7 linked regions of the Cricetulus griseus genome follow. The protein of the gene in region 1 purifies or fractionates together with the protein of each later gene. This does not show direct contact. Links are inferred from orthologs where the notes say so. Each region holds a gene or a part of one and is shown on either strand. Other genes may lie near its edges. The genes, in order: Igf2bp3, Ybx1, Fus, Trim25, Hnrnpa2b1, Ddx5 and Ilf2.

Region 1 (3,500 bases):
CAAACCAACTCATCCTAACACAGGGTTTCCCTGTTCCCTCATAAACTGTCATTTGCCTATGGGCCATGTCTGTCTCCTCTCTATCCAGAGGCAGTCCTTTGTCCCTTGGGGCAAGTATCTCTTTTCCCTTGCTCCTTTTCTCTTTTCTCCTGTCTTTTTCTCTTATTTCCTGCCACTTGCCCCTGTGGGGAAAATAAATCTCCTTTGTCCTGAGAACTTGGTCTTGGTGGCTTAAGCTGACACCATCCTTTCAACCATAACATGAGGAACTGTGTCAAATGGCTGTAGCATCAGGACGGCTGAGAACCACTGTTCTAAGAAAACCAGCCTTGAGCCCAGTACTGAACCAAAAGATAAAACACACTCACCAAACTATTTTTTTATTGTCGAAATGACACATTTGCACAACTCTACCAATCCCCAAAACTTCAGAACAAGCCAGGCTTGTTATTTTGGGGTCCAATTAAAAGTTTCTATTGGAGCTGGAGAGATGGCTCAGCGGTTAAGAGCGCCGACTGCTCTTCCAGAGGTCCTGAGTTCAATTCCCAGCAACCACATGGTGGCTCACAACCATCCATTATGAGATCTGGTGCCCTCTTCTGGTGTGCAGATATACATGGAAGCAGAATGTTGTGTAATAAATAAATAAATAGATAGATAGATAGATAGATAGATAAATAAATCTTAAAAAAAAGAAAAAAGTTTCTATTGACAAGTGCTACAAAGCACAGACGAGCTCCACACAGGTGACACATCATACAGCATACAGTTTGGCATGAACATCACACCATTTAGCTCTGACTGTAGCAGGACTGCGGCATAAGGTCTGATTGCAAGGGCCAGAGTGCTTACCTCAAATTGTGGGTAGGGAGGAGTCATAGTTGAAGGTGGCCCTGAGGTAGGAGGTGGCATCCCTGAAGTGGGTGGGAACAGACCCAAGGCATTCAGATTCAATCCAGGGATCAAATGTGCTTGAAGCTGCAATGGTAAAAAGGTCCCTTAATTTTCAATCAGAAGTATGGAGGGAGTGAGCATTTATAAGTGACAGTATTCATATTGTGACCGCTTGTCTAATAAAGAAAAAACACCACACTAAGACTCCTTTTTGAACACAGCAGGCGTTCCCACAGAACTACAGGTGCTGTTCACACCTCTCAGCATCGTTATATTGAGGATTTGTCTGCCCTGCCTTGATCCTCAAAGGGCAGCAGCTCAGAGCACTTGAGACAGAAAGGCGCTCTGCATTCTGTGGGCCTTCCATGGCCACACCCTGGAGGTCTTACATCAGCTGAAATGTGAGTGAGTGAGGTGTGCTTTCTGGAGTCACAGGTACACAGAACAAGCCTCGTAAAGATCTTCATGCCTCACCCTCTAGTCTAATCCTTCAAAACTCAGGTCTCCTCTTCTTCACACTGCAAGCACACAACTAAGCACACCTTTGGGGTGGATACAGGAGCCATAAAGGGAACACTGTTCCAGTTTAATCCACCCCTCCCCTTTAACATATGTGTGTGGTGTTTTGTTTGCTTGTATATCTGTGCACCGTGTGCATGCAGTGCTCACAGAGGCCAGAAGAGGGCGTGAGATCCTCTGGAGTTGGAATTAAGGATGTTTGTGAGCTGCCCTGTGGGTGCCTGGAATCAAACCCTGATTCCCTTGGAAGAGCAGCTAAATGCTCCTAAGCACTGAGCCATCTCTCCAGCCCTAATTTTATAAGAGTTGAAAAAGGTGGAGAGTAGGACTGAACTGGAGTGTATCTATACCGTTAACAAGGCCTATGGGGGTAGATTAATTCCCAGTCAGCTATGAAACACTTAGATAAGCAGCAATCATGTAAAGATGGCAGGCTACCATGTGGGATAAAGTGACAGCATTCTAGGTTCTTCACAGTCCTTTCCCAGGTTACTGTTTCATAGGACAGGCTCAAATGAAGTCTGCTAAATCATCTCCTCATATTTAAGGAGCACCTTTTTAGAAGACAGACTTTCGAAGTGTTCCGTTGTCAGCACCATTCCACCCATTAAACAGTGGCAGGAATTTGCTTTTGTAGCCTTCACTACATTTGCCACACGAAAATTTCAATTTCCCAGGTTATATGGCCAGCACAGTAAGATTCAAACCTGGGTTTCTGCTTTGTTGAACTATTCTGCAGAGTAGGAGCTGAGGCACGCTAGGCAAGCACTCCAGCACAGACACTACTCTCATCGTCCTGAACCTGGATTATCATGTTTAAGACATGGTCCTTCTAAATCACTCAGGGTGGCCTTGAACTTGCAATCCACCCACCCCAGCCTCCCAAGTTTCTGGGCTTGCTTCACATCGCCTGGCTCTTAAGCCTGTTTTTCTAATGGTAACTTTTCCATGCACGACACTGTAACCCTAAGAAGCATGTAGAACAGGAGACAGCAGCTCTCTGATCTGGAGAAGAAAGCTGCACGTGGCAGGAAATCTAACTAACTCATCTCCCTCCAGTCCTCACATCCTTCCTGCACCAGGGCCTCAAATTAACACAGGGAAGGAGGTAATAAATAACCTTTGGGAGGCATGTACTAATCTCATTCCTCCTGCATCAAGAAGCCAAAGGCTCAAAAGCTATCTAATTTGTCAGAAATCAGAGACAGCTAAGCCCAATGCCCAGGCTTCTGTGTTACCCAGGGTATGTGGGATGGTGCAGACAACTCATTCAAATCACTTCCCACGATAAAGTGAAAGAGCAGCGCAGCAAAAGCCATCTTTTACGTCTCCATCATCAGTACTAACATTCATGGATGCGATGTCATTTTCATAGGACTCCCTGATTTTCTTCATTATCTCCTCCTCAGCCCTGGCACACGTCTCAACATTGCCTTTTACTGTAATGGTGCGCTCCGGGTTGTACAGCGTCAGCTCCTGCAACCTGTGGCGGGAAGAGGAGAAGCGACAAGGACGACAGGAGGAAGGTGGGTGAGTATCATTCAGCCCCAAATGGTACCTGAAACCAGACGACAGAGCCTGTATCTTGAGAATGTGACGGATCAAACCCCAAAGACCCAAGTCCAAGATCTGTAACAACTTCCTTCCCACTCTCTCAATGACAATGACTGGGCACACGGTTGCACTACACTCGTGTTTTAAAACACAGCTTACTCTTTTTTTTTTTTTTTAAAGGTTTTTTGTTTTTATTTAATGTTCATTATCGTGAAGGAATCAGATCCCCTGGAACTGGAGTCACAGACAGTCTCCGAGCTGCCATGTGGGTGCTGGGAATTGAACCTGGGCCCTCTAAAAGATAGGCCAGTGCTCTTAACCACCGAGCCACCTCTCCAGCCCCGTGACTTATTTCTTGACCACTTCATCTCACCCTCTAACATCGAACTGAGGAGAGTGGTCAGAAGGATGTATGATGCTCAGGATGCTCCTTGTCTGGACTGGCCAATTCTAAGCAGAACCAGCTATCTTGTGCACTTGCATTTTCTGCAGTAAGCCAGAGAAATACTTCCCAAAAGCAAATCAGCATTTGT
Region 2 (3,500 bases), on another chromosome or scaffold:
GTGGTAAAGTGCTGGGCACTGGTGGCAGATGCCGGAGGCAGAGTTCAATGCCAGTGTGGCTACAGAGGCAGGGACACAGAGAAGCTTGAAAAACCAAAAACCCAAAAAGCTGGGTGGTGATGTTCGTTTGAGTACTAGCACCAAGGACAGAAACCCAGTCTAGCTCAATTAATGAGCTCCAGATCCAGTAAAGACTCAAAAAAACTAAGGTAAATGATTGAGAAAGACACCCAAGGATGACATACACAATACACTCACCGGTGAGTCCTATCTGTCAGATAAGTGGTCTTTGGGTTCAATCCCAAATTTGGGACAGGGTGAGAAACTGGCTGATAATATAAACACTCCATGGATGTGGAGCACTAGCTGTTGCTGCATAGTTATATAACCTCATTGGGTTCTCTAACTCCTAAACCTTCCTCTAAGTCCAGCAGATCCAGCTTTGCACATGAAGCCTTTCCTATTATTCCAATAGCTCCTATTACCTCAAACACCACTACACAGGACTTTCTATTTATTACCCTCACCTTTCTCCCTTCCTAAGTAAGCCATGTTTAGATACTGTCATTTGAAATACTCTTACCTGTTCGGGGACAGAACCATATACAGTAGATTTCAACTATATAAGCTGTGACTATAAAAGCAGTGACAAAGCTGGAAAGAACACATTTCTCAGCCAGGCACTGGTGGCGCAGGCCTTTAATCCCAGCACTCAGGAGGCAAATGCAGGCAGATCTCTGAGTTCCAGGCCAGCCTGGTCTACAGAGCCCAGGACAGGCTCCAAAACAGAGAAACCAAAAAGAAAGAACACATTCTCAAAGACTACTCACTTCAGGAGCACTTCTTATGCATCAGTGAAAGAGAATGAAGTATTAACTCACGATGCTGGAGAGGCCTAACATCTGGCTGAAGAATGCAACAGAAACAGGTTACGATGGACCATACCTGCGGAATCGCGGTCTGTAACCCCGATACATATTCTGTCTCACTGGTCTACCTTGCTCTCCTGCACCCTGGTTGTCAGCACCCTGAAAAGACATCAGAAGACATTAGAAATTAAAGTCTATTGGGTCCACAACAAGAACAAAATCCCAATCTGAAGTTCAAACCAGAAAACACTTTCCTGGCCAAATTCCAATTCCTGAGTACAAGATATCTAATAATTATGATCACACCATACATTAACAAGCTTGGTGGTTTCTTCATAATCAAAAGTGCATTCTGTGGTAACAGGTTAATTTAGGGGAAAATTTCCACGATTAAGTTAAAATAGTCTTTCTCAAAGGCTGTTATAAGGAGTATGTATGGTTGGTGCTCACTCAGCACTAGCCCTGAGACAGCAAAAATGCTGTTGCATACATACTGGCACTTACCTCCATCACTTCTCCTTGCACAGGAGGGTTGGAATACTGTGGTCGACGCCCATAGGGTCTCCGCATGTAGTAAGGTGGGAACCTTCGCCTACGATAGGGCCGGCGTTGTTGGGCTTGCCCTTCAGGAGCGCTTTCCGATCCCTCGTTCTTTTCCCCACTCTCACTATTCTGGTAATTTTGCTGGTAATTGCGTGGAGGACCCCTACGACGTGGATAGCGTCTATAATGGTTACGGTCTGCTGCGTATTTACTGCCTTGAACTGGAACTCCACCAGGGCCTGTAACATTTGCTGCCTCCGCACCCTACAAAAGCCATTATTTATTGACAATAACAAAAGAAATCCAAATATTCAATAAATTTCACTCAAGCTGGGGAGGGGGAAAAAAAAACAAAACAAAAAACCCAAGAGCAAACAAAAAAACGAGGGAGGCTGTCTGCATGGGAAAGGGTGCATAGGAATGACTGCGTCATCAGCTCCTCACTCTTCTGAAGGGACTGTTCTCTAACTGCAGCAGCACGTTAGGCTTGATGCACCTGTGTTCATGTGGTCACCAGAACACATCATCCATCCAATTAGAGCCACCATCCTAATGGATGAAATCTCCAAATTATTTCCATACCGAAGTCAAACCTTTACACAAAAAGCATCCTCACCTTTTCTCCTTCAACAACATCAAACTCCACAGTCTCTCCATCTCCTACACTGCGAAGGTACTTCCTGGGGTTATTCTTCTTTATGGCAGTCTAGTAACATCATTCCAAAAATAGATTAACAGGGGAGAAGAATGTGCTTTTTTCATTTAAAATGTACCAGCGTCAATATCATTTTTAGCTTGGATATATACTTAAAATTTGCTTTATGTAAGACCAAACTGTCAATAATTTAGGAAAGCAGGGACCAATGTTACCTTACCCCCAACCTCTACCAAGAGACTCCAATCTTACAAGGCCCCAGCATTTTACCACTATTTACAAAACTAAGTAATTTAGTACCCAAGACAGACAACAATGTGTTTTAATATACTTTTTGCAAAAGCATCACATATAAAGCTTGGAACAAAATAAGGCCTCCATCTATCCCCCAAAGACTGCACTTAATAGAAGCTAGCCCGACACACGGCCAGTTTAGATGACAGGCAAGTTTAGTTTTACATGCTTCAACTTTGACCATACCAACTCTTGTCCCTTTACCATATCAAACTCAATTACAAATGTCAAGCAAAATCCCTTCCAGCCTGTCTATAATGACTACTTCCAGGGAAATGCATTTCACATGTATCTATGCCACTCGTATATATCTCTCTCTGTAAGAGACCTGTTGGTTACCACCTCCCCAGAAAACAGTTAAGTCTTACATTATATAGGGCTTAAAAATTATGAAGTGCCAAAGGTCACACAGCTATTAAGTGGCAGGGAACTTTTCTAAATCCAGGTCTTAGGACTCCAAATCCCAAGTTCATTCCACATCACAGCAGTATCCGTTACAGGATCACTCATGCATTTCTATTCCAGAGGAGGCCGGACAACCAACAAATCTGAGGCCAATTAAGATCCGGTGCCCAGAACTGCAGTCTACTTGATACACCACCACAACCTCGTAGCCAAAGTCCCAAGAACAACTCTATGTTGATACCACTTGCAAAATAAATAGGAAAGCATATTGGTGACACCTTATGGGATAAGACTGGGTGAGTTGAGTCAAATAAATGATCTCATCTGTCATCTGAACTGTCGTATAGTTTCATACCTTTCATATGTAGCCAACTCAATTATTTGCAGTCATAGGGATAGTAGAAGTATGCATTAAAATCCCCAAACATGTTAGTCACCATCTTTAGCCCCTTCCAATCTCTCATGGCTATCAGTGGCAGCAAGACTAATAACCCTTGCTGTTTCTTGTCTGTTAAATCTTCATTTTATTTCCAACTTGTAGTAAGTACAGGTAAGAGTCACCTTACCCAAACAAGCATTTTAATTTAATCTTTGCTAGGTCTTTTGGTCTCCCCCCAATTAAAAAAAAAAAGAAATAAAGGGGGGAAAAAAAGGTTGAAAATTCTTAAAATAACTTTCAACACAAGTGGATATTTCAACAAGTTGATCACGTGGAAGCACACAGGAAGTGAAGT
Region 3 (3,948 bases), on another chromosome or scaffold:
TACCAACCACCTGGCATGTTACTCTATCTATCCCAAATCCAGGTTCCCCATGCCAGTAATCATGGCACAAAAGGTCACTACTAGCTGAATTTTAATGTGCTGATATGGACAGTATTTTTGCCCTTGTGAATCTAAGGGCAAATACCATCTCTTTGTGAATCACATGTATCGGCCCAACTTCAAAAATTTTCAAGCAAATCATTTTCTTCCACCCTAAAACTGGTTCTCTTTAGGAAACTTGCTTTTCCACAAAAATGAATATATGGGGGAAATCATCTAACAAAGAGACAATTACAAGCCATTTTGTTTTAAAAAGACTAATCACGAAATTAACAATTACAGACTGACAAGGGGAAATAGGAGATTTTCAATACTGTTCAGGTTTAAGAACAATTACTAACATTCAGAAGAAAAATGAATGAAGATTTGTTCCACTAAGAGACTCACTGTTTTGGGTCTGTCCATAAGAAGAACCATAGCTGCTCTGGCCATATCCTGAAGTGTCAGCTGACTGGCCATAGCCACTGTAACTCTGCTGGCCATAGGGCTGATTGCTCTGTTGGGAGTAGCCCTGCCCAGGCTGGGTAGGATAGGCCCCATAGCTAGGAGGGGGGAGGGGGAGAGGATCAGAAAAGTTATCTTCAATTGAAAGAAAAAAAGCATACAAAAACAACACAAGTTACACTGACCACCCTTACCACCTACAAACTCCAGCCCAGAAACAACACTCACCTTTGAGTTGCTTGTTGGGTATAGTCTGTAAAAGATGAGAAGGGGAAAAAGTCATGTTAATTTTAGTTAAGACTGGAATAGAATTAAATTCAACTTAAGTACTAGGCACTCTAAGAAGAGTGGTGATGAGACAAACTCTTAATCCCAGCAGAGGTAGGTGGATTTCTGAGTTCCAGGCCAGCCTGATCTACATACAGGAGAGCTAGTTCCAGGACAGCCAAGGCTACACAAAGAAACCCTGTCTTTAAAAAAAGAGGTACGAGGCACTCCAGATCACATTAAATCTACAAAATGCCATTGCAAAAACATGCAGGCATTAAGTCCTTCATGAAACACCAGTTGTGAGGAAAGCAAACTGAATACAAGTTTTAATACAATAAGCAAAGACACAAATTCCTAGACACCAATAAGTCTTAGATTTCTGTTTTGTTCTGGGTAGAAGCCAGGGCCTGGGCCATGCTAAGCTAGCTACCAGTGACACCAGTCCAAGGCACCATACAAATATTTCTGTGGATAACTATTATCTAAAAACATTGCCATGGGACTGTTTCTGTATTTATAGTCAAAATTTTTGTTTTTGGATTTTTTTGAGACAGGAGTTTCTATTACATACCTCTGACTGCCCCCGAACTCACTATGTGGACCAAGCTATGTGGAACTCACCATGCAGACTCAAAAAATCCCCGTCTCTGCCTCCCTATTCCTGGGATCAAAGCAGTATGTGCCCCCACACCCGGTTCAATTTTTTTCTTCAAAAAGTCTCAAAATACAACACAGACGGTCCCTGAACTTTAAAAATTTTCGTCTCGGCCTTTCCAAGGCCTGCAACACACACCACATGGAGTCCATTAGATTAACTTGTACAGTCACAGAGCTATCACACCGTTCGAGTCCAAGCAGTCTGAAGAATTGTGACCCTCCAACACCAAACAAATGCCTTTAAAAAAAAAATCCATTCACCTTGTGACTAACCTCGGAGACCTTAAGGCAAAGGGGAGTTTTAGTACAAAGCCAAACAAGGCAGCAAAGCTCTTTGACCCTAAGTAGCCTCAAGGCTCCAAGACCTGTGGCTCCCAGCGAGTGTGCTCCCGCCTATCGTGCGCATGGAGAAGCAAAGACGGTAAGCAGTAGCTCGGCTTCGAGCAGGAAACCCAGGGTCTGCCCCCGCAGGAGGCAAAAAAAAAAAAAAAAAATGACAGCCAAGAGGGTGTGGCCTCGGAAGGCGACTCCTTTGGTTTCCTTCCTGCCTCAGGAAAACTAAATTCAGAAACGGGAAAGCCCTCAGGCCGGATCCCTGAGTCCGTTCGTCATTTTCCCCAACCTCACGGACACGCGGGCCAGTTGGGAGCGTTTTCGCTCCGGCCCGGAGGCGCGAACAGGACAGCCCCGCCCCCTCCCGAGGGACCCGGGGAGCAGGGCGAGGCCAACACCGGACCAGCAGTCTTCCGCCGAGGGTCTCGCGACAAAAAAAAAAAAAAAAAAAAAAAAAAAAAAATCCAAACCAACTCGAGGCGGGCGAGGGGGAAAAACCGCGCCGAGAAAGGGGGAGGGGCCAGAGGAGCGCGTGCGCGCGCCAAGTGCCCGGATGCAGCACTGCGACAAAGCGGGGCCCGGCAGGCCGGGAGGGAGGGGGTGGGGCGCCGCTAGAGAGACCTGGCGCTTCCTCTCCCCTCACTCCACGTCGCCAGGCAGCGTCCCTCTCCACACCCTCCCCGAGTCGAAGGGCCCAGAGAGCCCTCAGACTCCGCGCCAAAGGCCGCCACAGGAGCCAAACAAAATGGCGACACCACCCTCCCCTGCCCTCCTCCCGCCGCTTCCCGCCACAGAGGTGCGGGAGCCCACACTCGCACGCCACCACAGGCCCACCGAAAACTCAAAAGTCTGGCTGGGAGGGAACGAAGGCTCCCCGGGACGCGCCATTGCCGCCTCGCGCCCTCACATACCGTTTGAAGCCATGTCCGCGCACGCGCGCACAGGCCGCCAAGCAACAGGGTTCCAGACGACTGCGAAGGGACGCCGCGAGGACTGAGCAGCCCCGCCTCCCGCGCCGACTTTAAGTACGCCTCCCGCCTACGCGCCCCGCGGACGTACCAAGTGGGACGGCGCGAGGGGGGAGCGCGGCCGGGTTCCTGCCCCTTCCCGAGGAAGTAGAGGACCCAGAGAGACAAAAGAAAAGGGAACTCACTTGAAAATGATGTCCTCGCATGCACTGTCATCTTGAGGATAATTAGCTCTCATCCGCCCTCCCCCCGGGGCCCGGCTTCGCCGCACTCCTACCCCTCCAAAGGTATAATGGTACGATCCAGCCTCCCGCTATGGGCGGTGCCAGGGCCCTGAGCTTGAACGCAGAACTGTAGTCGAGGCCTGGAGTCCCCGGGTGTGGGAACCGAAATTCCTCTGACGGGGCCCCTCGGCTGGGCCCCACTTTCACTGGCTAGAGCGTGCTTCCGCCTGCCCTGGCCGGTCAACTAAGCCAAACGCAGTGTGGTCGCTCTGGCTCTCCACATTCTCTCCTGAAAGCATGATCAGTCTCTGTCCCTTTTCTCGGTTTTCACTTAGCGGTGCCCCAGCTTGCTGTTCCTTAGACCTTACCAAGGTTTGTAGATTGTGACGTTTGACCTGAAGGAATATGGGCTTTAGCCTGGATCCCATAGCCTAGTCTGGTTCAACACTAACATGTCTACCGCTTAAGTGGTTTCGAAACCCACAATTTCCCACCTTTTTTATTTTTTATTTTTTGCCTCTCAGCACAGCCCAGCTGACCTCGAATTCATGATCCTCTTTGCCTTAAAGCAACGCATTCTAGTATTAACAGTCGACCTGGTTTTCCCCATCATCATCTTGTAAAGAAAATAAATGTATCTGTCTGCTGCAAATGAAGTCTGGGGATGTAGCTTAATGATAGAGTGATTGCTTAGCCGGTGCGTGACCCTGAGTACATCTCCAGGCCCGATCCAGGCAGAGGTGCCTGTGAGTAGGGTTGGGATTTTAATGAGTGCATTCAAAACCCAAGACTAAGAACTTGCCCTGAGTGTAAGGCAGTTCAGGGTCAGACCTTCTGATGTTTAAAATCTAAATCTATGAAACTACAAAATGCTTCTTGACTACATGAAATGATTTAGAGCATTTAAAAGCCTGTGTACTTTTTGTAAGGGAAAGGACAAATATGTAATTCAAGGGGGCTGGAGAGATGGCTCAGAGGTTAAGAGCACTGGC
Region 4 (4,062 bases), on another chromosome or scaffold:
TTTGTTATCTTTGCCTTCTCTTTTTAATTTCGATCTCACTTCAGAACCTGGAAAGTGGACTTGAGGAGTTTACTGGGTCTCTTTGTGGCCACAGCGAATAAATCTTTTCCTGCTGTCCTCTTTTAATTTGTCTCTTTTAATTGTTTTTGAGGACGGGTCGCTGGAGCAAGGGTGTGATGCCTCACTTTTGTGATAATAATCATGTACCATCAATAAACGAAATTGCCAAATCTGAGTGTGTGACTATGGACCCTGCCTTTAGGGCTTGCCTGGTGATAAGTCAGAGCCCAGGACCAGGGAAGAAGTGGGAACTGAACAAGAAAGAAAGGAGAAAGGAAAGCAGAAAGGAAGGAAAGAGCAGTCACTTACTGCCCATATAATTGTGTTTTGCTGTTTTTGTTTTCCTTAAATTATTTATTATGTATTTGGTGTGTGTGTGTGTGTGGTGGGGAGGTAGGTAGAAGACGATTTCATGGAGTCTTTTTCTTTTTCTTTTCTTCTTTTGGAGACATGGTTTCTCTGTGTGGGTTTCCCTGTATAGCTTTACAGGCTGACCTCGAACTCACAGAGATCCACCTGAGTCTGCCTCCCTAGTGCTGGGATTAAAGGCGTGCGCCACCAAAGCCGGGCTAATTTCATGGAGTCTTAACCAGGGTTTCAGTAATTGAATTTAGGCCCCGCGGTCTTATATTTGCAAGTTCTCCCACCCAGACATCTTCTCAACCTGTTTTAGATGTTGAGACAGTCACTCACTCACTGTGTAGCCTAGGCTGGCATCAACTCGTGGCAATTCTCCTGCTTCAGCATTCCAAGTGACGGGAATTACAGGCGTGAGCCATTGCGCTCTGTGTCTACAGTATTCTGTTCTGTTTTTGCTTTGATTTTAATGAGGATAATAAGACCCTTCTTGTTCTGGAGGGGCGGTTGGGACACCTAGGGCACGGATGAATCTTCTCCAAAGCAGTGCTGCACTCAGGTAGGACGTAGGCCCCAACTGGGGGAATAGAAATACCCCTACTCTTGCGACAGTTCATCTGCGGAGTGGCCCTGAAACGGTAACTGGTGGTCATGCGGAGTGGCCCTGAAACGGTAACTGGTGGTCATGCGGAGGTCGCTCCGGCCCGCGGGGGTTGGGGAACCATCAGAACTCTGCTTGTCGTCCCACCTCCAGCTTCCAGCACTAGCTCAGAGGCCCGTCATCCCCCTCCCAGGACCCACGTGACTTCCTGAAAGCCCAGGGCGCCGCCCCTCCTGTCCAGTTTCGATTCCTTCGCCGCTTGCAGAGCACCGCGCGGTGGTGTTTGCCATTGTCCCTGTGCGTCCCGTCGGGTGCCCCCAGGAGCGCGATGGCTGAGCTGTTTCCTCTGGCCGAGGAGCTGTCGTGCTCCATTTGCTTGGAGCCCTTCAAGGAGCCCGTCACCACCCCGTGCGGCCACAATTTCTGCAGGTCGTGTCTGGATGAGACGTGGGAAGTCCAGGGCCCGCCGTACCGGTGTCCGCAGTGCCGCACGGTGTACCAGGTGCGCCCGCAGCTGCACAAGAACACGGTGCTGTGCGCGGTGGTAGAGCAGTTTCTGCAAGCAGAGCAGGCACGGACGCCGGTGGACGACTGGATCCCCCCTGCCCGCTCCGCTACAGCCACCGAGGTGGCCTGTGACCATTGCCTGAAGGAGGTCGCGGTGAAGACGTGCCTCGTGTGTATGGCCTCTTTCTGCCAGGAGCACTTGAGACCGCACTTCGACAGTCCCGCCTTCCTGGACCACCCCCTGCAGCCGCCCGTCCGTGACCTGCTGCGCCGCAAATGTCCCCAACATAACCGCCTTCGGGAATTGTTTTGCCCCGAACATGGCGAGTGCATTTGCCATATCTGCCTGGTAGAGCACAAGACCTGCTCCCCTACACTCCTAAGCCAGGCCAGCGCCGACTTGGAGGTAGGGAATGGCTGCTGAGGGTATAGAGGACATCCCGGGTCAGCTGAATTGTAGAGAGGGCCCACCCTGAGTATCTTGTCCAGTGGCTTGCTGGAGGAGATAGGCTTTACCGGGCCAGAGATCCACCCCTTAACAGAACCTCATGGCCCTAGGCTCCAAAGGCCACTGTCTGTGAGTTGGACAGTGTGGTGTGTGTGTGGGTGTGTGTTTTGGGGGGCGGTATCCCCACTGACCAAGCAGAAAGCAGGAAGATTATATAGCTCCCCCTCTTGCCCATTGCCTTCTTTCCCCAACTCTCTCATGTCTATTTTACGTAGCAAACAGCCGAAGGCACGGCTTAAGGGAGCCTGCCCCCAAGCCAGCGTTTGTACGATGGTGTTTAGTAGTTTTGAATATTGACTATGAACCCTGGGGGTTACGTCTCCCAGATCCTGGCAGCATGCAAGAACTGTGCACTCTTAGTTCTTTCCACAGTTCAGGAAAAGAGGCCCAGAGACGTTAGCTTAGCAACGCTGATGCAGTCATTAAGTCCAAACCGTCAGAGCTGGGAACCATGCTGCTTTGACTCACAGTTCTGGTTTCTTGTTCCTCTGTAGACCATGTCTGCTGAGTCCAGAGCAGGGAGCGTTCTTGGAGGTTTGTAAGCAGAAGCCTGTGTTGATCCGGAGAGTTCTAATGGACAGGGAGGGTGGGCAGAGCCCCAGGAATTCCTGCATATGACCTTCAAAGATAACCAGTACTGTTGCACCATGGTGTAGTCCATCTTTTTCTTCCTTCCTCTCTCTCTCTCCCTTCCTCCCTTCCTTCCTTCCCTCCTTCCTTCCCTCCCTCCCTCCTTTCCTCCTTCCCTCTCTTCCTTCTTTTCATTTTGAGACAGGGTCTCACTATGCAGTTAGTCCTGGGTGTCCTGGAACTCATAATGTAGACCAGGCAGGCTTCTAACTCACAGAAATCCCACCTGCCTCTGCTTCCCAAATGCTGGGACTAAAGGCATGTTCCACCACACCTGGCTAGTGTAGTCATTCTTGCTGTGTGAAACTGAGCAAGGATTTAGCCTCCCCACCTAGGTCCACCTTGATAAAGACAGGAGGGGAGAGAGAGGTCAGAGTTCCTGAGGACCTTCCAGGGTTGCAATGATTTTAGGAGCTTTAGGTTTGGAGGCTCCTGTCTTCTCCCAGTGGACTCGGCAGAAGCTGCCCCTCTGCCACATTTGTCGAAGTGTGGCCTGATCTCATTTCACTATCAAATGTCTGGGAAGTTGAGGCCTGTCCCAATGTTGTGAAAGGAATCATAAGTCTGGGTGAGGTTGGCAGGCTTTGCAATCGATGCCAGGAATGGGATCCCAACTCTGCTCCCTCTTACCACAGCCCTTCCCTGACCTTGCCTGGGTCTTAGCCAGGTTCCTCAGGTTGCCACCCCGACCCCCCAATTGTGGCAGTTGATCTCAAAGGTTTATCTTTTGAGTTCACCTCTGCTGTACACCCCATGAGGGTATGGACACCTCCGATTGTATCTGTTCTAGAAGAAAGTCTGCCCAGCCTTTGGAGCCTGGGGCACTGCTTTGCTCCCACAGAGCTGTTTGGCTTAATGCAAGTCACTGCAGATCTCTGGGTAGGTTGGGCCTCCTGGGAAGTGTTTTGGAGTCAGGATCTCATGATAGAAGGCCTGGAGCTTATGAGGGAGGCTCCTACTAGATTCAGTGCTAAGATATGGGTTTAAATCCTGATCCCTCTTGTAGCTTCTAGATGCAAAATGATAAAATGGGGTACACAATGGTTACAGGTTATAGTGAACAGGGGGCGAAGCTGGTGTGGTGGGTGACTCATGCCTGTAATTCCAGTGCTTGGGAAGCTCAGACAGGGAGATCACCATGAGTCTGAGGACAGCCTGGAGCTACATAGTTTTAGGTCAGCTCCAGGGTGAAAGTCTGTCTCAAAACAACAAATGGCCGTCGAGATGGCTCAGCTGGTAAAGGCACTTGATACCAAGGCTACCACCTGAGTTTGATCCCTGGGTTGGAAAGAGAACCAACTCCAACAAGTTGTCCTTTGACTTGATATCCATATGCACGTGGTCTTGGATGTGTGTGGATGGACACACACACAATAAATGTAATAAAAATTACGGAAAA
Region 5 (4,042 bases), about 2.4 Mb from region 1:
GGGGGAAAAAAAAAACTTACATCAAATTTAAACCATATGTTAAACTGCATATTAGTTGTGTTACACCAAAAATTGCCTCAGCTGAACTATGCAAGTTTTAAAGTCACTAATATTTGATCTAACTTTAATTCATATAAATTACCTTAGCTTACACTTTCTTAAAAACCTTTGAGAAAAACCATAACCAACTCTGATTTAAAGGGTATCAAAGAATTCTTATGAAATTCTTTATTAAAGTCTACAACTCAAGCACAGAACTTTGCTCAAACTTATTTTTTTAAATTGAAAAAAAAAAACCCTGAAATTTCGATATCCACTGCTTAATTCAGGATTCAATTTCAGAGTAGTGGCAGATCTGCCTTTCCTTAAACTGCCCCCCCACCCTGGAGTTAGACTAACTATTTCAATGGGGGATCCTTCAACTCTGAAAGAAGTTCCATGAGTAAAGTTGAACACCAGATATACGCACCACCTCAAAATAGTTTTCTTTTAACTTAGCAAAATTTATTCCATCTAATTTTTTGGGAGGCACTCCTTGTCTGGTGTTCAGGCTACAGTACTAAGAAGCACACATTTATCTACAGTTGCTATTGCCCCAACAGTTACTTTACATTTTTTTTGGAGCCTATCCTGGCACTCGCTCTGGAGACCAGGCTGGCCTCGAACTCACAAATATCCGCCTGCCTCTGGGATTAAAGGCGTGCGCCACCAACGCCTGGCTTAACTTTCCTTTTAGTAATTAGTGGCCTTCTGACAAATCTCTCAAAAATTTCCAATAGTAATTTCCTGAAGTAAATACTAAAGTTGTGTTATTACTGACTTATAAATAAAACAGCTTAAAAACCAAGATGCTTATAAACTGGGTAATACTATCCAGGACCTGTCTTGATTGCATAACAAACTGAAAAGACAAAATTCATAACACACAAAAAATTTCCACAACTCTTATTACAACCCAAATCTATTAAGGTTCCTTCAAAAAAAGTCTGTAAAAATTTTGTTCGATGCCCTTTCTCAGGTTCTGAAATTTGGAGAAATTGAGTAGACAAAATAGGTTAAAGATTAAAATAGGACGTGTAAAATACTTAGTATGACTGGAAATCCAAGTTTCCAGGCAATTCTAGATAAATGTCCACAGATGTGCCATCTTTAAATTCAAACTGTAAGCATAAACTTACCATTTTTAATGTCACTAACAAAAAGCAAAAGCTTATTACTTACCTCATAGGTTTTTCCAAACTTACCCGACGTCCACTATCGATTATAAACAAGGTTATTTTATAAACGTGCTTAGGGTCAAAGAATATAACCAAGTAGACCCCTTTAATTTGAAACCTTATGCTTATCAATGTAATAATCAACCATTTGCAAACATAAATCAGAAAAAAGCAAATGACAAAGTTCAAATACATTGTGTCCCAAATAAAAGTTTTTACATAGCTAGGTTCCTGCGTTAATACTGGACTGTTCCATGCTGTAATCAAAGGTGAACTACGAAAAGTTATTTTCTCTTCCCTAACGTGACCATCACGCGTAAAGATCTGTTGTTTTAGGAACAAATCCTGTGGTTCCCTTTAAAATCCTCATAATCTGAATTATTTCAAACATCAGGATCCTTCAGGAAAATAAACATACGCAGCAATAAAAAAATATCCCTCCGCCCAAGATCACCTTCTAACTACAGCTGAGCACTCTGGGCTTCCTTTTACAACTGCAGACTCACAAATCGCTTAATTAAAGGAATTAGGAGCCAGCTCGGGGAAGTAAAATGGTTTCTTTGCTGCAAGGCTGCCTTCAGCAGCAGGCTCAGGCCCGGATCGCACTCCTCGCCCGGGGCCTGCGCCGGGAACCCTTGCGGAGGCCGCCGCCACCCCCACCCGGCCGCGCACACCGTGTGGCTCGGGAGCGCAATGGCGCCATTTCGTCGAGGGGGAAGGAGGGCGGAGCGCCTAAAACGAGGTGCGCAGGACTCCGAGATCAGAGCTCAAAACACCCCAGATCCCCCTCGGAACGCCACCAAAACGGGCCGGGGACAAAGGAAACCAGCTAATGGCTCCCACGCGGGGGGGAAGGGGCCGAACGGGCAGAGCCGCAGAGTGCGGGACGCGAAAAACCGCTGCGAGCAAGGAGACGGGAAAATGGCGGCCGCCAAATCCGGTTCCCGGGGGGGAGGAGGGAGGGAGGGGGAGGGAGCCGCGCAGAGCCGCTCCAGGGGACCCGGTGGCCGCCCGAACGAACGCTCCGCCGCGCACACGCCCCGGGCCCCGGGGCCCGCGCACGGCCCGCGGGGGAACCAGGCCGGCCGGGCTCCCGCGCCCCTGCGGAGGACGAGCCGCTGGCCGCGGCCGGGCCCCATCCCCCACCCGGCTCAGGGAAATGGCGCCGGGCGGCTGAGGGCGGGGAAGGCGTTCGGACAATCGGGCCTCCGCCAACGACCCTCTCAGAGCCCCCGGGCCAACCGCCGCTCGGGCGGCCGCTCTCCCTCCCTCCGCCCGCCCGCCCGCCGCGGCGGTGGCCGGCTTCCACGGCGGCCTCGCCATGCCCTCGCCAACAACAACTCATTGATTTCAAACCCGTTACCTCCATCGCGGACTCAGTCGCTTCAGCCCGATTTCCCGCAGCCGAGCGAGATGAGAAAGACCTCCGCGGACGCACACGCACGGGACTCGTCCTGACGCTGTGGGGGGGGAAGAGCAGCCGCCGCTCGAGAAACCGCGCCGCGGGGGAAAGACCTGCACACAGGACCCGGCGCCGCTGCTACTGCCGCTGGAGCCGGGACCGCCGCTTTTCTAGAACCTTCCCCCCACTAACGCGTCTCCGCCTACGTCAGGCCGTTACGCAAACGTCCTAACCGCCGCCAATGGCGGGAAGGGCCTCGACACGCCTTTTGCGCCGGGTGCGTGCGCCCTCCCCCTCCCGGGATAGCGAGGCCGCGTTACGTCACTTGCGCAACCGCGTTTGGTGAATTGCGGAAGGCTCGCGCGCCCAACGTGTTACTACGTCCGGAGTGAGGTCCGGCCCTCCCCCCCCACACCTCCGCGCAAGGAGCCGGAGAAACGGTCGCGCAGTTTGAAATTAACGCTGCCGGGCGGGGCTTGCGTCGCCGCTCAGGCGTGAGGCCCTCGTCACCCCGGCCGCACTCCCTGCGGCGACGACGCCTTCGCCGATCCTCGCTGCGGGCCTCTCGAGGCGCGCCGGCCTTTGTTTGTTTGTGCCCGTCCCCCAGGGGGGGTGCAGTCCGAGCGCGGCTGCCGCGGCGGCACCCGAGGCCCTGGGACCCCCGCGCCCCGTGAGAGGCGGTGCTCAGAAGCTCCCCAGCCCCGCAGGCCCCGGGGCGAGGAGGTGGGCGGAGCCCGGCTTTGGCGCGCTGGGCTTTGACGCAGAGCGGCCTCGGCGGTCCCGCCCGCCTCCCCTCAGGAGACCCCCAAGGCGCCACGCCGCGGACGGTGAGTGGCGCGCACGCCGCCCCCCGCAGGACGCGTTCCCGGCGGGCCCCGCGCGGCCTGGGCGTGGGCGGTGCCTCCCCTCCCCTCCCCCCCGGCCGAGCCGCCCGCGCCCGCGCCCCGCGCCCGCGCCCCCTCCCCTCGGATGTGGCTGAGCTGAGGCGCGCAGCCGGGAGACTCTGCAGGATCCGCGCCCGGAGCATCTGAGCGGTGAAGTCGGTGCCTTGCTTTTCTGGTCGCGCGTGGCGCAGCGCGGCGCGGCGCGGCGGGGCCGGGGATGCTCCGTGCGCCCGGCTTCCCTGCGGGGAGGCTGCGGGCCCCCGCGCCCCCGCCGTGGGCCCCCGGGACCCGGGGCTGCTGCGGGGAGGAGGCTTGGCGGGGCCTGGCTGAGGCGCCGCCGCGCCGCGCCGCGCCGCGCCGCGCCGCTGCACGGGGAGGACGGCACAGTCGTGCCGAGGGTGGGAGAGCGATGACAGCTGCGGGGCCTCCAGACAAAGCGCGCGGGTCCCCTCCCCCAGCCGCGCCGCGGCCGGCGGGCGCGGATAACGTTAGAGCCGCCGCCGCCGCCGCGAGGCCCCAGGCCCGAGCTGCAGCGCGCT
Region 6 (2,543 bases), on another chromosome or scaffold:
GGAGTACTGACTAGCCTACAATCTGAAGACCTTTAAAATGCCCTGAAACAATGTGGAGACATTCCTGACTGCCAGTGTGGCTCTAGGAACCCTGGTGAATGGGTGATGACTAGATTACTTTGTGTGTAAGCTGCACCAAGGACACAGCGCACAGTTCTTGGGCTAACAGTCTTTCAACTTTGTGCATTTTGGTCCAGAATAAAGTATGCCAGCACTTTTTGCAAAATAGAACAGTCACCATGTTATCCCTGATGCTGAAAGCTACTAACAAATTTATAAAAAAAACCCACTGCCCCTCAATTCTTAGAGATAGATCATCTTAAGGGCCTTCTTGATTCTCTCACCTCCTAAATCCTAAATCAAAGAATGGCAAGTAGTCAACTTTAGTTTTTGTGTAAAAAGAAAACACCAAAATGAAAGAAAATCCCCCCGAAACATACTATCTAAGCCAAGTTTTACATGACATCATATATGTAAAATAAAGTACAATTTCCACTTAATTCAGTCTTCAAATATCTTTTATTGGAAGGCCATGCATTGCCTTCATTTATTGTATTTGAAATCACTGTACAGTTACTTTTGTGAAAACACTGCCTGCATTTTCTAGTACAAAAAAAACCTAAAAATTGTTTCAGGAATGTAGAGAAATATCCAACTTAAATAGCGAAAAAAGTGCACCATAATCACTGCTGCACTGCAGTCATTTCTGCATTTCCCATGTTTCTTAAATAACTATCTTGTCTGATAACACACAATATAAAGAGCAATTATGAAAAACAGACATTTACATATACTTCTAAAGTCTTATTGAGAATACCCTGTTGGCATTGGATAGCCAATCATAGGCGCAGCAGCTGCGGTAGCAGGATATGCATATGCCTGTTGGTTCATACCATTGTGCATATTTGCAACATTACTTCCATATTGCTGAGTGCTATCATAACCGTTCTGGTAAGTCCCTGTTGGATTACCAGTCCTAAAACTGGTCTGAATACCAGCAGATACAAAATTACTTCCAAAGCTCCCATTGGTGTAATTTGCAGCACTGTAAACACCATTCTGAGTTTTAGCCCCAAAATCTCTCTTAAGCAGACTAGAGTAACCTCTGTCATAATTTTCCCTGTCTCTAAAGGTATTAAATCCACCCCTTTTGCCCGCAGAGTATCTGTCACGACGATCATCCTTCATGCCTCCTCTACCCCTGGAACGACCTGTCAAGAAAGCAAGCGAGAATGTATCAAATCTATGGCATAAATGTGCTAGAGTTAGGTAGCTCTACTCATGGCAGCCGAAGTGTTCTTTCAGATCTTAGGTTTCAACATAAACTACTTACCCCACCAATCCCACTTAAAAAAGACTTTGTAGACAATGAGGTGACCCCAACTACCTGTAAGATCTCTTACCTGAACCTCTGTCTTCGACCAACTGAAGCAATTTGGGATTAATTGCTTGATTAGCCTCCCGAAGCACAGAGATAAGGTCGCTCACTTGCTTTATGTTATTAGGTGTAAAGAAAGTGTATGCTGTGCCCGTTTTGGTACTGCGAGCAGTTCTTCCAATTCGATGAATATAATCCTCTGAGGAGTTAGGGTAGTCATAATTGATGACAAATTTCACATCTTCCACATCTGTAAGGTGTTGCAGTGTGGCAAAATAGCAATGTACGGAGTTTTGCACACCACAACAGCCAGACCAAAAATAAAAAGTTAGACAATTGTATTCCCAAGAAGGTACGGGCTGCAAAAAATACAGTTAAAATGGTTATCCATTTCCTGTAGGAATACCATTGAGGTAGGAAAAAAAAGAGGGTGGGGGCAGAAAAAAGAAAAAAAAAGCACATGTCAGCTGTATTAAGTTATCACCCGCCCATTGACAGCCTATCAAGGGAATGTGTATTCTCCTTAGCACATTCCCAAATTGGCAAAGTCCCCTTACAGATCATCAAGTGACATCTGAGTGCTTCTGCGCAGTAGGGCCACTTAAAAGTTTCACAGCAACCTCTTCATGTGCTCATTTTTGAGGACCTTTAAGAAAAATGTACAAGGTCCTTTGCATCACACTCATCAGAAGTTCAAAATTCTGGCCACACTGCTTGTCTTGCCAAGACCTTACAACTGCAGCTGCAAGAAAAACATACCTGTCCCCCAAAAGTTGTTTTAATGCACTGTGTCTCGTCTAGGCAAGCGCTTCCAAGAAGCCAGGATTCACTTGAGAATGTGTCTCTCTCTGGCAGGTCTCGACATGACGACTACTGTGTAGGTGAGGGAGGAACTTTTTCAAGGCACTTTCTTTTCCCACTGACTATGTGTGAGAAGTTGACCCTGCTGCTCTAGGTCTCATGTGCCAGTACTCACCAATTTGTAAAAGGCTTAGTACCTTTTAAAGCTGCTCTCTCCATTTCAAACTTGAACAAAAATTTCATTGAACATTGAAGTTTGGAAATATTTCTTCGACATTTCAGCAAACTCACTGAAACTCAAAGACCCACAGATCACAGTGAACAGTTTGAAACAATGCTGTACCATGGCAATCATGCAAAGCAT
Region 7 (3,500 bases), on another chromosome or scaffold:
ATGTACAGATCCCTGACGACATATTAGGTATGGTGGTATATACCTGTAATCCAAGCACAACTGGAGACCCAGGCAGGAAGATAAGTTTAATGTTAGCATCAGCTACATAGCAAGTTCAGGCCAGCCTATGATACAATAGACCCAGTATCAAAAAAATAACACAACAGAACAACAAGGTAATGAGAACTTGAATTAGGTTCTTCCTATTTATATTTGGACTTGAACATCTGAAGGAGTTAAAAGCCAGTGTTGCAAGCTGGGTGTTAACGTCTGTGAAATGGAGTAGATGGAAAAACAGAATCAAATGCACAATTTTGGGTGGGGGATGAGGGATGCGTGAGTATATTTATGTGTGTACACCATGCACAGGTGTAGTACTGGTTCCAGTGGAGGCTGAAGAGGGAGTCGGATTCCTTGGAACTGAATTCATAGGTGGTTGTGACCCCTATGTGGGTATTCCAAATTGAACCTGGGCCCTCTATAAGTCCAACAAGTGCTTTTAACTGCTGAGCCATCTCTCAAGGCCCCCCTCCTTTTTGGGGGCGCCAAGGTTTCTCTATAGCCTGGGTTGTTCTGCCTGGAACTCTCTGGAGATCAGGCTGACCTTGAACTCATGGAGATCTGTGTCCTCTGGAGTGCTGGGATTAAAGGCGTGGACCACCACCACACCTGATTTCCAGTCCCTATTATTATTTTTTAAGTGATTTTATTTATGTGCATAGTGTTTTGCCTGCATTTGTGTCTGTGTGAGGGTTTCAGATCCTCTGGAACTGGAGTTACAGACTATTGTGAGCTGCCATGTAGATGCCGGAAATTGGACCTAGGTACTCTGGAAGAGCAGTCAGTGCTCTTAACCACTGAGCCATCTCCTCAGCCCTATTTTTTTTTTTTTAAATATTTTATTATGTATACGACATTCTGCTTCCATGTATATCTGCACATTAGAAGAGGGCACCAGATCTCATTACAGATGGTTGTGAGCCACCATGTGGTTGCTGGGAATTGAACTCAGCATCTCTGGAAGAGCCGTCAGTGCTCTTAACCTCTGAGCCATCTCTCCAGCCCATCTCAGCCCTATTTTTATTTATTTAGTTTTTTTTTTTTTTTTTTTTTTTTTTGGTTTTGTGAGACAGGGTTTCTCTGTGTAACAGCTCTGGCTGTCCTGGAACTAGCTTTGTAGACCAGGCTGGCCTTAAACTCACAAAGATCAGTCTGCCTCTGCCTCTGCCTCCCAAATGCCTGCATTAAAGATGTATGCCACTATCACTTGGCCTAATTTTAGCCGGGAGATGGCAGCACATGCCTTTAATTCCAGCACTCGGGAGGCAGAGGCAGGCGGATCTCTGAGTTCAAGGCCAACCTGGTCTACAGAGTGAGTGCCAAGACAATCAGGACTACACAGAGGAAAAATGGTGTCTCAAAAAAACAAGTAGTAGTAGTAAGTGTTTTTATTACATTTGTCATCACATGTACACCACAACAAATGTGTGGAGATCAGAGGACAACTTGCAGGATTTGGTTCTCTGTGTGGGTCCCAGAAACTGATAACCCAGGGCCTTTATTGTCAAACCATCTCACTGGGTCTTGTTTATATATTTTTGAGACCAGGTCTCAGGTAGCCCAGGCTGGTGCTGAACTGTTGATTCTCCTGCCTCTGTCTTCAACGTGCTGAGATTATAAGTATATAACAATTTTTTTTTTCTTTTGAGAATCAGAAAAAATCTGTATATTATTTTTGGTAAATAACAAGTTTAATTTCTGGTTTAGTGTGAAATGGCTTTTCCTCGGGTCAAGCCCGCACCTGATGAAACGTCCTTCAGTGAAGCCTTGCTGAAGAGGAATCAGGACCTTGCCCCCAATTCTGCAGAGCAGGTATGTTCTTTCCTGAGTCTGTGCTAAGGCCTAAAGCATTAAGAGCTGGGCTGGAGAGATGGCTTAGAGATTAAGAGCACTTGCTACTCTTCCAGAGGACCTGGGTTCAGTTGCCAGCACCCACACGACAGCTCACAGCTGTCTTGTAAGTCCAGTTCCAGAAGATCTGATATCATCACATAAACATACATGCAGGCAAAACACCAATGTGCCTGTGAAATACAATTACAAAAAAAAAAAAAAAAAGAGCTAATAAAATGTTGTGTTGCTAGGATTGTAAGCCAGTGGTAGACCGCTTACCTAGCACTCTTGAGGGCTAGGGTTTCATTCCTATCAAGAGTGTTTTCAGAGCTCAAATTCCTCCTGTGTTTAATTATTCATTCCCCCTTCTTACTGTAGGTGGAGAGTCTAGTGATGATACAGATTAAAAATGTTGTTTTGTGTACTTTTTGGCCTTAGGGTATTTTTGCTTTGTGATGTTTTCAGGCTTCTATCCTTTCTTTGGTGACAAAAATAAACAATGTGATTGACAACTTGATTGTGGCTCCAGGGACATTTGAAGTGGTGAGTTTTTGATGAATTAATCCTAAGTAAGGGCACCCTTGGTGGTATGGAAATTTTCTTGTCCTTTGCCTGTCAAATTTCCAGTTGTCTGTTATCCAAATCAAAGCCCCAAATGGAAAAGTACAGGGACATTCTGGAACTCTTCATCCTGAGGATGAGATTTGTATCACTGGTCTAGTCATATGTGGTTGTTTGGGGGATGGGATTTTGTCGTGGCTGCTTCTAAATCTGGGTAGTAAGAAGCTGCTGAAATAGTTCTACCTTTGTTTCTCTAAATGTCCCTAAAATCCCCTTTTCAACAGCAAATTGAAGAAGTCCGACAGGTTGGATCATATAAAAAGGGGACGATGACGACAGGACACAATGTAGCTGACTTGGTGGTGATACTAAAGATCCTGCCAACATGTGAGTGTGTGTGTGTGTGTGCGCGCGCGCGCGCGCGCATCTGGTCTTTCTCTGTCGGGGTGGATCGTGGTGTTGGGCATGTTAGCCTGTCATGGGACGCCTGAGAGCACAGGATCCCTCAGAAGGTTTGAGTTTTCTCTGAGTATCTATGCAGTGGCAAGAGCAGATGGGCTTATAAAAACAGTTAGGTCTGTGTAAGTCAGAATTTAGTAGAGTTCTCAGCCCACCCTTCTTGGTATAGATTTACTTTATCTTTTTTTTATAGATTTGTTATGTATATAGTACTCTGCCTTCATGTATGCCTGCAGGCCAGAAAAGGGCACCAGATCCCATTACAGATGGTTGTGAGCCACCATGTGGTTGCTGGGAATTGAACTCAGGACCTCTGGAAGAGCAGCCAGTGCTCCTAACCACTCAGCCATCTTTCCAGCCCTTTATTTTATTTCTATTAGTGTTATGCTTGTATGAGTGTTATACATTCCATGTACATGCCTGAAGAGGGCTTTGGATCCCTTGGAACTGGAATTATACATGGTATGACCCACCAAATGGCTGTTGGGAACTGAACCCAGGTCTTCTACAAGAGGAAAAAGTACTCTTAACCTCTAAGCCTCCAGCCTACTTTCCTAAACATTGAGGTTAGATTTGGGGCTAATAAT

Evidence for each region.
Region 2: the proteins of Igf2bp3 (region 1) and Ybx1 purify together in Homo sapiens (affinity purification with mass spectrometry; 3 studies listed by BioGRID and IntAct, with this or other methods). This does not show direct contact. The link is inferred for Cricetulus griseus from reciprocal best matches to the Homo sapiens genes IGF2BP3 and YBX1.
Region 3: the proteins of Igf2bp3 (region 1) and Fus purify together in Homo sapiens (affinity purification with mass spectrometry; 3 studies listed by BioGRID and IntAct, with this or other methods). This does not show direct contact. The link is inferred for Cricetulus griseus from reciprocal best matches to the Homo sapiens genes IGF2BP3 and FUS.
Region 4: the proteins of Igf2bp3 (region 1) and Trim25 purify together in Homo sapiens (affinity purification with western blotting; 3 studies listed by BioGRID, with this or other methods). This does not show direct contact. The link is inferred for Cricetulus griseus from reciprocal best matches to the Homo sapiens genes IGF2BP3 and TRIM25.
Region 5: the proteins of Igf2bp3 (region 1) and Hnrnpa2b1 purify together in Homo sapiens (affinity purification with mass spectrometry; 4 studies listed by BioGRID and IntAct, with this or other methods). This does not show direct contact. The link is inferred for Cricetulus griseus from reciprocal best matches to the Homo sapiens genes IGF2BP3 and HNRNPA2B1.
Region 6: the proteins of Igf2bp3 (region 1) and Ddx5 fractionate together in Homo sapiens (co-fractionation; 3 studies listed by BioGRID, with this or other methods). This does not show direct contact. The link is inferred for Cricetulus griseus from reciprocal best matches to the Homo sapiens genes IGF2BP3 and DDX5.
Region 7: the proteins of Igf2bp3 (region 1) and Ilf2 purify together in Homo sapiens (affinity purification with mass spectrometry; 3 studies listed by BioGRID and IntAct, counting the BioPlex papers as one, with this or other methods). This does not show direct contact. The link is inferred for Cricetulus griseus from reciprocal best matches to the Homo sapiens genes IGF2BP3 and ILF2.

The regions. Positions count from the first base shown.
Region 1 is NC_048601.1:92,237,672-92,241,171, reverse strand, and holds part of Igf2bp3 (insulin-like growth factor 2 mRNA-binding protein 3), read right to left. Parts: intron 2,897-3,500; coding exon 2,761-2,896; intron 979-2,760; coding exon 853-978; intron 1-852. UniProt on the Homo sapiens protein: RNA-binding factor that may recruit target transcripts to cytoplasmic protein-RNA complexes (mRNPs). This transcript 'caging' into mRNPs allows mRNA transport and transient storage.
Region 2 is NC_048595.1:32,884,212-32,887,711, reverse strand, and holds part of Ybx1 (Y-box-binding protein 1), read right to left. Parts: intron 2,119-3,500; coding exon 2,029-2,118; intron 1,677-2,028; coding exon 1,374-1,676; intron 1,029-1,373; coding exon 946-1,028; intron 1-945. UniProt on the Homo sapiens protein: DNA- and RNA-binding protein involved in various processes, such as translational repression, RNA stabilization, mRNA splicing, DNA repair and transcription regulation.
Region 3 is NC_048596.1:72,806,552-72,810,499, forward strand, and holds the start of Fus (RNA-binding protein FUS), read right to left. Parts: upstream 2,801-3,948; 5' UTR 2,689-2,800; coding exon 2,676-2,688; intron 758-2,675; coding exon 733-757; intron 603-732; coding exon 448-602; intron 1-447. UniProt on the Homo sapiens protein: DNA/RNA-binding protein that plays a role in various cellular processes such as transcription regulation, RNA splicing, RNA transport, DNA repair and damage response. Binds to ssRNA containing the consensus sequence 5'-AGGUAA-3'.
Region 4 is NC_048600.1:102,138,288-102,142,349, forward strand, and holds the start of Trim25 (E3 ubiquitin/ISG15 ligase TRIM25), read left to right. Parts: upstream 1-1,262; 5' UTR 1,263-1,346; coding exon 1,347-1,931; intron 1,932-4,062.
Region 5 is NC_048601.1:89,866,113-89,870,154, reverse strand, and holds the start of Hnrnpa2b1 (heterogeneous nuclear ribonucleoproteins A2/B1), read right to left. Parts: upstream 2,801-4,042; 5' UTR 2,587-2,800; coding exon 2,581-2,586; intron 1-2,580. Other genes in the region: translation initiation factor IF-2-like, read right to left, coding at 3,414-4,042. UniProt on the Homo sapiens protein: Heterogeneous nuclear ribonucleoprotein (hnRNP) that associates with nascent pre-mRNAs, packaging them into hnRNP particles.
Region 6 is NC_048600.1:119,726,984-119,729,526, forward strand, and holds the end of Ddx5 (probable ATP-dependent RNA helicase DDX5), read right to left. Parts: exon of another isoform or gene 1,629-2,543; coding exon 1,404-1,628; intron 1,212-1,403; coding exon 805-1,211; 3' UTR 501-804; downstream 1-500. UniProt on the Homo sapiens protein: Involved in the alternative regulation of pre-mRNA splicing; its RNA helicase activity is necessary for increasing tau exon 10 inclusion and occurs in a RBM4-dependent manner. Binds to the tau pre-mRNA in the stem-loop region downstream of exon 10.
Region 7 is NW_023276806.1:64,071,091-64,074,590, reverse strand, and holds part of Ilf2 (interleukin enhancer-binding factor 2), read left to right. Parts: intron 1-1,767; coding exon 1,768-1,872; intron 1,873-2,358; coding exon 2,359-2,436; intron 2,437-2,738; coding exon 2,739-2,841; intron 2,842-3,500. UniProt on the Homo sapiens protein: Chromatin-interacting protein that forms a stable heterodimer with interleukin enhancer-binding factor 3/ILF3 and plays a role in several biological processes including transcription, innate immunity or cell growth.